Linked DNA regions of Caenorhabditis elegans. The protein of the gene in region 1 purifies or fractionates together with the protein of each later gene. This does not show direct contact. Each region holds a gene or a part of one and is shown on either strand. Other genes may lie near its edges.

The links.
Region 2: the proteins of C01B9.1 (region 1) and rege-1 fractionate together in Caenorhabditis elegans (co-fractionation; one large-scale study listed by BioGRID). This does not show direct contact.

Annotation. Positions count from the first base shown.
Region 1 is NC_003280.10:13,769,655-13,777,607, reverse strand, and holds the start of C01B9.1 (DUF38 domain-containing protein), read right to left. Parts: upstream 6,034-7,953; 5' UTR 5,974-6,033; coding exon 5,918-5,973; intron 5,326-5,917; coding exon 4,719-5,325; intron 4,672-4,718; coding exon 4,397-4,671; intron 3,900-4,396; coding exon 3,194-3,899; intron 3,146-3,193; coding exon 2,874-3,145; intron 2,824-2,873; coding exon 2,145-2,823; intron 2,030-2,144; coding exon 1,778-2,029; intron 1,224-1,777; coding exon 1,177-1,223; intron 1,128-1,176; coding exon 437-1,127; intron 386-436; coding exon 131-385; intron 49-130; coding exon 1-48. Other genes in the region: C01B9.4 (Transcriptional regulator), read left to right, coding at 6,499-6,568, 6,620-6,687.
Region 2 is NC_003279.8:6,955,105-6,962,898, forward strand, and holds the start of rege-1 (Endoribonuclease rege-1), read right to left. Parts: upstream 6,036-7,794; coding exon 5,785-6,035; intron 5,037-5,784; coding exon 4,972-5,036; intron 4,880-4,971; coding exon 4,755-4,879; intron 4,542-4,754; coding exon 4,270-4,541; intron 3,429-4,269; coding exon 3,324-3,428; intron 3,160-3,323; coding exon 3,073-3,159; intron 2,640-3,072; coding exon 2,463-2,639; intron 1,595-2,462; coding exon 1,368-1,594; intron 827-1,367; coding exon 581-826; intron 18-580; coding exon 1-17. UniProt on the Caenorhabditis elegans protein: Endonuclease which binds to the 3'UTR of target mRNAs and induces degradation of the transcript.

The DNA of each region.
Region 1 (7,953 bases):
TGGCGCTTTTTCTGCTTTTCTTAGTGGGTGCAGTTTTATGAGAGGTTCCTATAAAAATCACATATTTTTTTATATTATCGTTAACCTGGAGGTGTAGAAGACCTTCAGAAAAATTGAGAAAAAAACTAACCCGCTTGAAAATATACACTGGAACCCCTTGCCTTCCACAACGTAGATAAATTATATCGAGTTGATACTCCGTATTTTCCATTGGCAAATACCACCGTTTATTTCCTAATTCTTCATTTCCGTATTCAGCCTGAGAAGGTGTACAAAAAACGTCTTGGGGTTTCGGTCCTCTTTCTCCCATATTATTGATGTCTTGATCTTTGTAAGCGAGAAAGTGAATGGCAAATATGAATTCAGTGGTGAAATTCATAAAGTGCTGAAGTTTAACTTTAGTTAGAAAGGTGCTCAAACAAAATTGGAAGCCTACCTTTTTCAATGAATTCAACTGCTCCAAACTGATTGTTGGAACAGTGAAGTTAGCGGCAGAAAAATGCTCAAAACTTGACAGTGCAGTTGGAAACACGAGCGACGGACACATCATCTGTCTCACACTTTTCCACTGTTCTAGGTTGACAAGTAGTTCACAAGCTTCCGGTTCGATGACTATGCCTTTGAAAAATGGTGCTTCCAAAACAATTCTTATAAGATCTATGGGGTCGCACCATGACAATAGCGAGGCGGCGAGTTCGATGAGCGGTCGCTTCCAGAAATATACCTCTAAATATTTAATTCTCAGCTTGTTCTGTCGTTCTTTAAGCGCTTCAACAAGGGCTTGAAGAACCTTTTTATCAACGTCGTCCTCTTCAGAATCATCGCGTAGATAAATTTTGAATCGAACCATGTTATCGTGACTCTTCAGAATCACTGACAAATGGGAAATCGCCAACGAGATAAAGTCTTGGTGTCGAGCTACCTCTTCTTGAAGATCACATTTAACCCGGCACCCTTTCTGATAACGTTCATACTCGTGGGTTCGACAATTTTCATGATTATGGAGAAAATAACGGAAGAATATTGTAATTCGGATACGTTCAACTGACATGTAAATCTCAGTGAGTTGTGCGCCTTTCATGGAATTCAATGTGGAGGGGAGAATTACGGATCGAGTAGTGAAGGAGCTGGAAGAAAGGCAAAAGTTGGCGGGGGTTTACAAAACTTAGGGCTTACAGTGGCAACATGGCTAGGTTATTGATTGGACCGAGTGTTTGATGTTCCTGAAAATTAAAAATTATCGATTTAAGTAAGATTTTTTTCGGAAATGCAAATTTTACAGTCAAGTGTAGGGCACCCATGCAGGCGCCGAAACGCCTGTCTTGTAGGTGACCTCCGCATGTTTCACGCCGAGAGCCGCGTCTCCTGTACAGTGCCGGCTGCGGCGAAAGAACCACCTTTCGCACTATGTGGTGAAAACACACCATGCTTTTGGCTTCGTGGCGCTTTTTAACTATCAAGCACTCACAAAATTTTACACTTTTAAAAAATAATCATTTTCACAAAATCGACCATGAGAAAGTTTCAGCGACCGACACCGCACGGGAATTTTGAAATAACAAAATGCACGGCCTCTTATAATTATTGGAGCGCGCTTGCTGGAACCTCGCTAATACCAGGATAGCAGTTTTGCTAAAAAATATAACTAAAAAAATTACCATAGATGCAACAGAATAGCAAAAAATTCTTTCCCAGCAAACCTAGTTCTAGTGAATTCAGGAGTTTGTGAGGTGTCAGTACTACAGTACCCCGACCATACTGGAGTTCAAACAGTAACCTTTTCAAATACGGTGTCAGCAATCGCAAAACTTTCAAAAGTGAATGATTGACCCATGGGAACACATGGGCGGTATTCTATGACTAGCTCGAATTTTGTGCTAAGAGTCCGAATACGCCATTCCATGAGGACATCTTCAATACGGTCGGGTGCTCCAAACATTTCCAGTAGGTTTGTAACATTCACATCTTCATTTTTTGAAAGAGTGTCGTTGATGATAAACTTGAGCTTGATTGGAGAATTCAGGAAGTGCTGAAAATTGGAATGTTTTGGTTGCAGAATGAACAGCCAAGAAATGGGCGTGCACGTGTTTATGATTTCTTGACAGACCGAACCTTTACCTGTGATAGAAAAAAGTTTCCCTCACCTCTTTCAATATATTGAGATCTTGAATTGAAACTGTCTGTAACGTCGCAGACACATTTGAAAAATGAAGCAACAATTTGATAGGAACGGATAATTGAAACGATTCTGCTTTAAACTCCTTGGCATTTGTTACATTAATTTCTTTCAACTTTAACTTTGCTTCCTGGACAGTAGTCTTCAACTCGATAGTTTCCGAGGCAATCAGTGACAGGATTGAAAAGAACCGATTGTTTGGAGCGTGATTTTTCAAGTTCAGCTTAAAAGTTCCGACAGTAAGCATCTGTGATCTTTGCTTCAAATGTGTTTTCAGATTAGTCAACCAATATGGTAAAATTGTTTCATTAGAGTTATTTGGATCATCGTCTCGATTTGGCGCTGAGATCTCGCCAGATTCAATTTCAAACTTGTCAAACTCTTGCACACTATTCATTACGAAGTTCAGATCATCACAGGATGCAACGGCAAAGTTCTCATCAAACACTACTTTGTGAAATTCATACTCCAACAGACATCCTTCTCTGTGATTTTTATAGCAGATGCTTTTGGTCGGCCAGGGTGAGTGAGTGAAGTTGATCTGAACCTGGCCCTCATCTATTCTAACTTTGAGAGACCAGTTTTTCAACGCTTCTATTTTCTTGACGAGTGCAGAGAGTATTTGAGATCGGTTGGGAGATGTGGTGCTGAAAAAAACTATTTTGCAGTACTATGTATTGAAAGTGCCACAACTCACCTCATCAACTCCAACTCAGATGCCAAGCGTCGACTGAAGTTGAATGAGCCGTACTCTCGCCGACGACAGAATATGTGTTTGACGAGAACACAATTCTCGGAATTTGAAATCGGAAGGCACCAAATTCGATCACATTGCTCTGCACTTGCATACTCTTCGTGAGCTGGTGGTCCAAATGTCTCTAGAAGTTTCTGAGCAACATTGACATTGATCTCAGAGGAACGGAGATACTTAATCTCAAACATCTGAGGGATGTCAGAAGTGATAAAATGCTGAAAAGCTTACATTTTCCAACAATAAAAAACCTCCCAGTGAGTAACCTCTTTTAGAAACGTTAGATCTTCGAAAGAAATCGGGTGGGCTATGATTTTTGCAATGCCCAAATGCCCAAAATCCCTCCTTGCGAATTTCACAGTAATATCCGACATCAAAATCATAGCAGCTTGTTCCCATTGTTCCAGGCGCACAATACTTTCCAAGTTCATAGCGGTTGTCCTTTTATCCATGTCAAGCATGATAGATTGAAGCGGGCCGGGTTGGAAGAATGAGAGTACCGAGGTGATGTAATTGATAGCGAGAGGATGAAATTTGAAATTGACACTAAATACCAATGCTTTTATGGAATTTGGTTGAACAAATTTATCGAATACATTGAAAAACTCCATGTGTAACATATCACTTTCATCTCCTACAACATATTCACTCATTAATTTTCCGTAGAACACAAAGGAAAATGCTGCAAATGTACAATATCCAATTCTGTCTAATAAGTACTTCAAGTGGGTGCAAAAAAGAGTACGATAATCTAGATTCACACCCAATTCAGTTCTATTCTCAGAATTCACAGAGCATCCAGACATCTGCTTTTTATAATCGAAGATGGCATTTTGTTTTTCCAAGCTAGTTTTCGGTTGATAAGTGAGTTGAAACATAATGGAGTCTCTCAGTATCACTAGAAAGACACTAATGTTCTGGCTGTTTTCGAGTAACTCGACAGTCGACGAGTGGTAGTTTGTCACGATTGGGCTGAAATGATAATGATTAAGAGGCAAAGAAACCGCAAAGTTTTGCACTGCCCTAACAGACTGTTTCCAGAAATCAAACAAGTAACTGTCTACACCAACTACACAAATTACACAAGCCTGCTCAGACTGTTTCCAGAAAAAAACGCATATTCTTTTTAAAATTCCTGCAGACGTCTATGTGAAGCCCTACTACGCATATTTTTTTGGTAACCAGACACGAAGGCTTCCATAAGAGGCAGGCGCGGTTTCAGGACCTGACACCTGCCTCCAACTTGCCGGCCTCACGCCGGCCTCTTGCCTCATTTCTGCATATGGAAAAAAGGCACAGGTTTGGTGTTCACATCAAATAGTGCGAAAGATGGTTCTCTTGCCGCGGCCGACACGTTTTGGGTTTCGCGTCGCACTATACAAAAGGCGCGGCTCGAGGCGCGAGGCGTGGGCGGCAGGCGTTCATATACATTCTTTTCAAAACCCAAAGGCGATTATTCAAAACCTCACTCCGAAAACTGCTTCACCAAAGGCGGCTCCCGTGTAAAAGTAATCGAATGCAAATTTGCGTATTCCCTCATACACAAATTAATTGAAATATCGTGATTCTCGTCCATCACGTGAAATTTGTAGATGTCTTCTCCAGTTTCACAATGATCTACATCGATTGGATCTCCCACGATTGTAATTAATCCCATTTTTTGAGGAAGTACCATCATAGGATGCCCATCGAATTCTCGATAGTGAATGACGTATTCACGTGCATGTGGTGCATCGAGGAAATGCTGTAATTTTGTATTAAATGAGGAAACCAGATTGATTTAAAACTAACATTTTTCAAGAAGACCAAATCGTCGAAATTGATCGAATTGAAAAAGCATGAGGCAGTCGACAAATGTGAGATTTGTTGAACAGGACCCGCCAAATAGAACGAGTTGATGTACAGCGCTCTGACCTTTTTCCAGTTATCCGATTCGACTTTTTGAATAGGCTTCTTATCTTCATCATCTTCATCCCAGTCTGTCTTCAATACCAAAACTTTCACATCCAAATCTGATAGAATTTTCTCGATAGGGTCTGATGGCGTCTCGAAAAGACGTACAGAAAACTTTTTTAGCTTCACATTGCTTGATTTCAGCATTTTGGCCATTTCCTCTAATAGTAGCATCCCGACATGAGACACTACTTCGGGATTTAGTGACTTCCAACACTCTCTGTTAACAAACTGGATAGATATATAAGAAATTGGAATTTCGATTGCTAGAATCGCATTTACATATTTCATGGAGGCGGTAATGCCTTGAAAGTTAATTGTTATCCTGGGAGGGCTTTTTCGGGTGTAGATGGTCAATCGGACGGTATTTGAAACGATGATTCGGATTCCAATTCTACTGGAGTTTTGAAAGGAATTCAATGTGGAGGTCAAGATTTTAGATGATCTGAGGTTTAAAAAAAATCAAATTAAAGTTCACATCCCCCACTGGAAAAAAACCCACTTGAAACTAAGCCCATTTTTTTGTGCCACACTTTAATTTCAATTTACAGCACAAAGTTTTAATATGTAAAATACAATTATTGAAAATTTCATTTTTGTTTTGTCAATTTCATTTTTTTACTATGAAAAAAAACGTTTTGATACGTTAAAAACTATTTTTCCATAGCTATAAAAAATTTGCGCTGGAACTTTGAAAAAGAGTCGTTCCGAGAAAAAAGAGCTTGAAAAATTAGCCAAAATCAATGGTTTTTTTTTCAATGAATGCATTTGTTTTTTTTCTCTGTGATATCACTGAGAATGATTTAAAAATCAAAATTAAAATTTTGACACACTGCCAAATTTCCGAAAATTTCGGACTTTTTTCCGAAAATTTGAGGTTTTGTAAAATAATTTTTCAGGTAAAATCCAACTAACAGTAACTTTAATCTAATGCTCAATAGTACTTAATACTTGACAACTTAATAAATACCAAAAACATATATTTAAAAAATCTAACAAAACTGAACTCTCAATTTTCCGGTCAATTTAAAACTCACGTTTTGTTTTTCGGCTTTGAAAATAAATGGGACAGTTTTTTACACAAATCATTCATTTTTCGAAATGTGTATGCTTGTAGTAGTATGAATATTTTCCGACGAGTGAGTTTTTGTGAGTGAATTTTCCTTATCACTCTTTCCGTTAAATACATGGAATTTCCTCTGATAACAAAATGGGACTCAGTCTTTGATTGCAATAAATCAAGTGTACACAAAAAAAAACATTTTTTGATGTGAAGTCTGCAGTTTAATTTCAACTAAACGAATATTTTTTAACTGAATCACACTATTGCTAACAAAATTCCACAAAAGATCAATTGATTGAACTAAAAAAAAAAGATTCCCAATGTTCAATATATTTATTCTCAAACAAACATGGCCGAATTAATCCTTAGAAGGATCGTTAGACTCGCTTCATTGGGCACTGTTGAACGAAGTTTCAATCCCATCATTGAATGCATATTGTGCTTGCTTCTTCACACTCTCTGGAAAATAAGAATTTCTGAATTTTCTTGAAGTTTTCAGTGTTATACGAAATATGATCAGTTTCTCGAATATAATATTTCTTTGAAAACTTACAGGAGCTGGAGCAGGAAATGGACGTCATTGACAGAATCCGAAGTTTGCAGCAAAGGCGACAAGGACAAGAAGGTAGACGATGAAATTCATGTTGACTGAATTGTGACTATTCCATTCTTACAGGGCTCTTTTTATATGGAACACTGACAAAGGAGGTATCCAATAAAAACATGTTATTCTGGATTTTCTGACATTCATTTTGTATTATCTGTTTTCATAATACAACAAGAACTGAATAGGAATTTTTCAAAAATAAAAAATTTATCACATAAAAATGACACGTTACACAAAAACATATGAAAAGAGAGAGGCCCCATCAAAGCATAATTCACAAAAACATAATTCAGTGGACGGAGTTGCAGTATTTTATCTGTGATTTTTATGGAGTCGGCGTCGCTTTGTTGACATCTCTCTTTTGTCCAATTTGTTTTGTGCAAGCCAGATTGCAGATATCATCTCCGTACTGACAGAGAAATGGATGTACATAAGTAGCATTAACGATGTACCAAGTATTCTAATTTAGCAGTATAGTTGGTATGTCTACAATTTAATCTCCAACCTTTAGGACGTTTTGTGAGGTTCATTCCAATTTATTTCTGTGAAGAGAGTGGGAGGGGGTAGTGATGTGATATCTGCCTGTGAAGGCGGCATCGCTTTGTTGCTCTTTTGTCAAATTTGTTTCTGTGGCGAGCCTGTGGAGCTACGCGGCAATTGTGTTTTTTTGTCATTTTTCGCACGGTGAGTGTTGACACTCCGGTCCGAGATGGCAGCCAGAGCCTCGGAGTGACAAGAAGACGACGGACAGAACGGGAGAATTGATGAGCGGTGCTAATAACAGTACACAGTTTGACGAAAATCCAAGTTTATTGAGCAGGGCAGCATTATGCTGGGATAAACAAGGCAAAAACGTAGAGAATATTTAGTGAATATTTGGGAGAAGAACGGCGACGCGCAGCCAGTGACGAAGGGGCACGAAGAGTGAAGTGAAGAGTGGCCACATTTTAGGCCAGAAATTAATATGAGCAAGGGAATAAACAGCGCGCGCTACGACACTCCGATGTGTACAATGGCGCGCTTGCATCCTTGGCGGCAAATTCAAATGATAATTATTTAATTTAATTAATTTAAATGGTGGAATGATTATTAGAGAACGAACAAACGGAATTGTGTGAGTAAATTACCGGCGGATGATTATCGCTGGATTGTGGGCGATTCTTGCCGATAATTATAATCCGCAAAGTTGGAGCGGCGGACCTCTACTGAGGCCAAGTCACAACAGTGAGGCTTCTCCAGAAGTTTCCGAAGCGAAATATAATAACAACGGCCAATAAACCCAATTGCCGTCCGGTTCTAGACTAACTCGTGCTCGGATTCATACATTGGATACAACTTATTTATGGAGCAAATTTCTTCGGCAATCCGTAACTTTCCATGTTAATAAATGTTGGAATAAGCTG
Region 2 (7,794 bases), on another chromosome or scaffold:
ATACATATCTGGATAAACTGAAATAATAATTGTTTAGGTTTTGTAAAGTTGGTCTCGACACGAATAATATTTTTTCAAACGGTGGTGGCGATGTGTTTGTACAGCAATTCATCCCCTGTTATTTTACAAATGTTATCCAGATATTCATGTGTTTTTTAGCAGCGGGAATAGGGTTGCTGTACTGATTAAAGACCTAGATTTTATTGCGCAACGTTCATTTGAAAATATTTCAAGACCGGCTACCGTATCTTTGGGAAGGAAAATTGCTATTAAGAAACCATGAGATCATGAGAATGCCTGACGTTTTGGCGCGGGAATATCTCGTAGCGAAGGCACCTAAATCTCTCTTTGCCGCTATTTTCGCGCCAGAAAGTAGGCATTCTCATGAACTGATGGTTTCGTAATATAAACTAGGTAGTGCACGATTTTGTTCAAACATGATTCTATATTTTTTTGAAGATAGGTTTTTGAAAAAACTGCAAGTTGAAAGTAAGTGTAAGTGTATTAATTAATTACATAAATTTTATAATTTTGGTAAGAAAATAAATGCACTTTAATTTTTTGAAATCATAAAACTAACCATTCATTTGCCGATTTACGGGTGTTAATGGAGATGATCCATGTCTTTGAACAACTGTATGTTGTTGCCATGGAGCACTATTTGCTTGTTGTAATTGCATATGCTGACGTGGCATTTGCATGGGGCTCTCAGGAGTTGGAGGAAGTTGGGACATGTTTTCTGTGAGTTGTTTAACAACATTCAATGATTGAGTACGTGATAAAGCTGCATGCTTGTTCTTGAACATTTCGTATTGCATCGATTTTACTGAAATTTTGAATTTAATTTAGGAATATACAAGATCAGTTTTAGGTGTGTGTTTATCAATTTAATAAGGAAAACAAGTCAATCAATTGAACAGAGACCACAACAATTTGTGGGGCGAAACTCAAGTCTGTACCTCCGAATTCAATCAAAAATTATTCAAGTTCTATTTTACGCTGAATTTGCCTAAACGACATTTTTTTAGCCACGAAAATGAGTTTTTGAGGGTTTCAACATTTGACAAGCACTTTGAGTCCCTTTTAGGAAATATAATTTTTTTTAAAGCAAACCTAAACTTTCATGAAATTTTCTGTCAAAAAATGTTTTCATATCATCAATTCAAAACGATTTTCTAGTGGTTTTTGAGCTGTTAAAGTACTCTGTTTTTGGCACAAAATGTTACAAACAGCCAAAAAGAATGGAGAAAAATTAGGGTTGAAAATTTGAAATCTGACAAATTTGAAAAACAAATTTTAAAATTTTAAAATTTTAAAATTAAAAATATAAAATTATACGGGTGGGGTTTAATTCAACCAAAACATACCTGCACCCAATGATTTTTTCTGTTGATTCTCTTTCATCAATCGCTCAGTTACACTCATATGTTGCCCATTTGCTCTTTCTGGATGATAAAATTTGCATTTATTCCCATATGTACATTTTCTTGCATATGGACACACAAGAGGATTTGATGAAACTACAGGAACTTTTGATAAGAAGCTTTCGATTCGCGGACCATGACGACCTGATGGATCATCCGGTGGCATAAATCTGAATTTACTGAGTATTAGGAAAGACGATATTTAAAAAAATTGAATTTTTTTAGAACAATCCTAGCTTCTAAAGTTTATTATTCTATAAACTAACTTAAAAAAAAAACACAAAAGTCTTGATGTTTTTTGTCTCCAAAAGTGAGAAAAAGTGCAATCAGAGCTTTGCTCTTTTGTTCACAGACTTTTCGGAAAAAAAGAGGAAAAAGTGCAGGAAAACAGGTCGAAGTGCAAATATTTGAATAGAGGAGAACGAATAGAAAACACAAGAAACACCTCAAAACAACACGGATGAACACCTCAATTAGCAGAATGTTTATTTGTTGATTTCATGATCTCGAAAATTTTTATTTATTTTTTCCGGCGAATCGGTTAGTACGATAATTAGGTAGGCATTTAAATGTGAAATAGAGTGAATGGCACTTCAAAAAAAAACCTGAAATAGTTCACACATTTAGATATTTTACAACAAAATGAAATCATGCAATTTTCGAAGCGTGATTCTCTCCTAGTTCATACTCTATGTTTGCATTCCCTCCACAATAAGAATTGCAAGACCAATCAGTGAACAGCTTATCCCCACTTCTGAACCAATTTATAAAAGTGTACGAAGTGGAACTTCACTGATTGATTCAAATGTGGATGGAGATATTTGCTGATTGGTCCTGAGACTACAGTTCTCGTTTTGGAGAAAATTCAGTTTTACTTTGGGTGATTGGGTTCAAAATTATGAATTGTTCCGCTAATTTTACAGCAAATCCCCCATTCAATCTATTCCATATCTAATACATAGTCAATTAACATAAGATTTTATGGCATTTTATTTGTCTATTAAACAATATTATCTCAAAGTAATTTAAAAAACTGACTTATCCTCAACAAAAGTGAACATAAGAAGTCTCTCCTCGACAATCTTCCTCCACGCAGGATTCTCACGTGTCAAGTCACGATATTCGTCGTTTGACACAATTACAGCGTCTTTTAGTTCAGCAGTCCTGAGAATATATCTATCGTCGTGGCAGACAACTCGACGACCGTTAACGTTTCTGAAAATTATTACATATTCTATTTAATATGGAAACTATGATACTCAATTTTTAACAAGACATTGAAAATTGCTAACGTAAAGTTCACAAATTGAGCTCAGACCAATTCTTACCGATGATATTCTCAAGTAAAACAACTAAAAATGTGACCAAAAAATTAAATTGGTGCAGAAGCTGGAAAAGCTCTGGCAAATGTGGGAGACAATTTTGAGAAGACTTGGTTTAAGCTGCAACTATTTTTGACTCGATCCAAACTTTTCCTATGTTTTTTTTAAACAAGGGTAAGTCATTGACAAGAGTTGGGATTTGGACTCAACTCGAGTTTGTCATAAACCAAGTTTTGTCCAAGTTTAACTCCAGATTTGCCAGTTTCTGGATCAAGTTTTTTTGAGTGTAAATTATACACTAAGTATTTAAATGTCGTAAGGCGCACCTAGAAGGAGTATAAATGATATGTCGTTCGATTTCCTGTAGGATATGTTGATCTGTGATAGGGCTATCCGATCGTGGTTGTTCTCTTCTGAAAACTCATATTTTCAGAATTATATTCATTTAATAATTCCGTAGCCATGGTCAAATTAACATTAAAAACCAAATGACTTACAATCACGTACCGTAAATTTTTATGGAAACTACAGTAGACTACTGTATTACAGAAATTTCAAGTGTCGTTTTCACACTTACCTGTATTGGGGAATAAATATGAGAACTTCCGGATGTCCCCGTTCCAGAAAATAATTGAGACACTCGCGGAGACCTGCACACGAGAAGACTTCTTTACGGCCGTGTCTGAAAATGATTATTTCAAATGGGTAAATAGAATAGATTAAAATAATTAGATCGACAAGTTTTGAACTGTTTTGTAAAGTTTAGTAAAGACTGTTTTAATGGTAAAAACCAACATTTTAACAACTAGATAAGATATACTTTTCAACAACAAAAAAACAGAAAAATCATGAAAAATTCTGAGAATCATGGAAAATGGTGAATAAATCATGATGATCAAGAGAGGGTGCCGTTTTCCGTTTCTCTCTGTCTCCCTCTCTCTATCCCTCTATTGACATTATGTTTCTTCCCAGGGCATCCGCTGCGGAAAGCAGTCAATCCGGAGAAAGAGAGGGCGCAAAACTTTCATATTTGCTCATAAGAAGTGAGAGAGCACATAGGATTATGAGAGACATATAGAAGCCAAAAACGATCGGAGCAAGGCAAGAAGAAAGTTGGCAAAAATAACAGACTATTTTGGCGCGGAAGCAGGAGCGGCGGCGGACACAGTGGGAGAAACGGCACAGGAACAGAGCTCATTTTTGTAGAAAAGATGAGAGAGTTTATAAAAACAAGAGAGAATGTGAGAGAAACATAGACAAATACTTCCGGTAGGCGGGTGACAAGGTCTGTGGTCACTTAGTTATGAGAAGAAGACACGTAGTCTGTCATTGTTTTATGTTAAACCAGAAACTACCGTAATCTTCTTATTTTTCTGGTAATGATTAGATTGTAATTGTCAGTTATTTTTTGGAATGTTTTAGTTCTTTTGTACTTAAAATATATCGTGAATATCTCCACTGCTTATTCAAAATCTCCGTTTCTATCTATGTATTTTTCTACCATTTGTTTTGCGTCAACTTACAACATTGCAACATTTGATCCATCAACAACCACAGCTCTCAAACTTGGATCCGGGTTGTATTTGGATGGTGTGGATGATGACGTGGCAGGTGATGACGTGGCAATTGATACTGATTGTCTAATAGGACGATGACTTGACGATGATGAGGCAGAAGAAGACGATGCAGAGGAAGTCATGATTGGTTCAGGAGAATTTCTACTTCCAGATTTTCCAGAATTTTCTGGTTTACCACCAGGAAGACCCATTTTTACAAGTTCTGAGAGCACGTCGTCCTGAAATTTTTTTAGTTTTGTTTGACAATATTCGAATCAAATTTATGAAATTTCAATTGAATACTGTTATTTTTGATTTTTGGTGAGACATTTCCAACTTTTCGCAATTTACTAGAAAATCTGAAAACTATTTTCCTTAAATTGTCGTATAGTGTTTTTAAAGTCACAAACATGTTCTAATTTAAATATTTTTCTGAAGTAATAAACACGAACCATTCTAGAATCAACACCAATTGTATTCAATACGTGACTTAGTTGCTCTGTCGAATATCCCAATTTCGTGGCGAATTCAACAACTTCCGGTGCTGGATATCTTATCATTGGCGCTGTTTGGTCATCTGAGATTTAAGAGCAAATATAATTTTGTTGAAAATATTAAATAAAAATCAGGGATCTTTGAAATTATCTAAAATAATTGTTTCCTACTAACCATCAATTTTGCTTGGATCCGATGATTCGCGACTCAGTGATGGATGGGATATATCGTCGCAAGAACTGCAAAAAAACAATGGTAAAAAATTTGAATTGAAACTTTTTTGAGATTGCTGAAATGTTTAATGTTATAAATATTTATGTGCATCCAAACTCAATCCAAACTCATAAAAAGTGACTAGAAAGCTCAAAAGTTATTTCTCTGAAAACAAATTAAACTGCAAAAAAAACCTCCAAGGATTGAAAAAAGAAGACCTACAGAAAAATGAGAACAAAATTTCCGGCTGATGGAAAAAAAGAAAAAATATGAAAAATATGCGAAAGAAATGCACGTTGTCTGTTTCCGGGATAGTTATTTTCAGTCATTTACAGAGGTTTTATCATATTTTTTCCTTATACTCTTAATTTAATTTGCCATCATTTGTACTGAAAATTATTTTTAACGGAAGTGCATGTGGGTGACGATTTACAAACAGAAATGCAAGGTTCAACTTCTCGAAGCTTTTTTGCAGGAACTCTGCGAAAAAATTTTTTACGATGGCCAAATAAATTTGTCATTGAATTTTAACATCCAAAACAAGAGCATAATTAAAAACCTTTTCAAAAACTTCGAAGGTATAAATTATTTGCAAATCAGTTGAATATTTATATGTATTTTTACTAATTTTGAATTACCATTTCTTAAAATGTAATTCCGTAGATTTGTCGAGAACAAGCCATCTCTCCCCATGATTTCAACTGAATAATTTCAGACTAAATTAATTTTTTGAAATTTTTTTCTCTCTGCACTTTATCTGAAAACATAACAAACCTGTAACAAGAGTCAAAATCATTGCATTGAACTGGAGCCAATCCTGGCGGTGGTCCAGTTGAAAGCACCTGCCCAGAACTTCCAATAATTTGAGCATTTCCTTGTTCTCCGTAGGAGCCAATTGGATTTGACATTGATTGTACCATTGGTTGATGTGGAGTTGATTGATAATATGGATTGAGACGTGTTCCAAGTCCTCTTTGGTTGCTGGTTCGACACAAAGGGGCGTGGCCACGAGCCGTTGAATCCATCTTGAAATTTTGTGGTTTGGGCGGAGGGGGAGAGAGAGAGAGAAAGAGAAATGAAAAAGTAAGTGAGAGTAAAAACAATAAGAGCAAGGAATTTGACTAGCTCGAAATACGATGGCGAAATAGATGGCTTATACTTTTTTCACTGCTCATATGAAATAGTAGGTACCTTTTGTATTGAACTTTCTCAATTGTTGTGAATTTTTTCATCAAAAAAGTGCGTGGAATTTTTTTTGGTGAACCAAACTGGCGAATTGTCCCAATTAAGTTTTTTCAGCACACCTGTTGAGAAATTCCCTAAAACTCTTCCTCAATACTCTGGAAAACATTGGAAAAATTTAGATTCTTTTAAATTGTGTCTTTTGTCCCCATCCTATCATTAGAACTTTAAAACGGAAAACCTTTTAGAAGTCAACACAAAATAAGAAGATTATAGCTTTTTCAGTTGAAAATGATGGTAGAGTTCCGTCTGAAAATGCAATCGAGAGAAAATGGAAAAGACACAAAAATGATAGAAGAAGAAGACACAGGACAAAGTTTATATTGGATAAAATTCCTCGAATTCGGACTTTGATTCGGAAAAATTGATTTCTGGATTCAAATATTTAGCTCTTATTTAAAATTTCGAGCCTAAACTAAATTTATTTTTATTGGAAATCTTGAACAAACACCAATAAATGAAAAACAAAATAGAAGGAGGAGGGATTATCAACAATCTGAAAAAGACTCAAAAAAGGGATTATCTAGAAAGAAAATAAGAAGGAGAGAAATATTAGAGATATATATTAGATATATCAGTTGAATACAAATTGTGAAAAGAGGGAATAAATCCGGGGGTGGAGAAGAGAGAAGTATTAAAGAAAAAATGAAGGAAATTGTTTGTTTTCTTATGGAAAAAAACATGAGGTTATTTCTTTGATCAGGGAAATTGTTTGTGATAATTAGATTCCGTAGATTAATTTTGTGATTTTTTTCATGAAACAGAGGAAAAGTTTAATGACTTCCATTTTTGATTTAAACAATTCGTGTTTTTTGCTCATGCCAAATTGAAAAAAATGTTTAGACATCAGGCTGAATATTTTTTTCACAAGGCATTCCAGAAAGTTCGCGGTGAACTTATTCTTAAAAAAGATCTGAAAAACCAAATGTTTAAGTCGGGTAACATTTCAGCACACACAAAACATATCAAAAATATCACTTATAATTCCAAAGCTTTTTGAACTTTTTTCCAACATTATCAGTAAAATGCGAATAAATAATATTATTTAGAATTAAAGGTCTAAAATTTTCAAAGCCAAAATGTTTCTTGAATTATCAAAAATTGAAATTTTTAATCACTTCCAACAGTTTGATAATTTATTCTGCAAATTTTTAGCATATCCAACTGACTGCTAGTGAGTTTTAAAAATGAAATAGCGGCAGTTAAAACACTCATAAGTGATAATAAAATAGGATTTTGGAAGTTGTTCAACTAAATTTTAATTTTTTAACGTGAAAGTTTTGTGCAGCTTTTCCGAATCTCAAAATTAGAGACTAAACTTTCACGTTGAAAATGAAAATAAATATATGCTTTTTTAAATCTATGTCAGACAATTTCAGATAATCTGGATCTTAAAATAAACATGATATTTGTGTTTAACGTGTTCTCATCATTCTAAATCTTACACCTTTAAAATGCATTTCCAATTAGACAATACAAACGATACGGAGTGTGCTTATAATTTCAGAAGGGATTGCCTAAACTACACTAGAAAAATGAGAA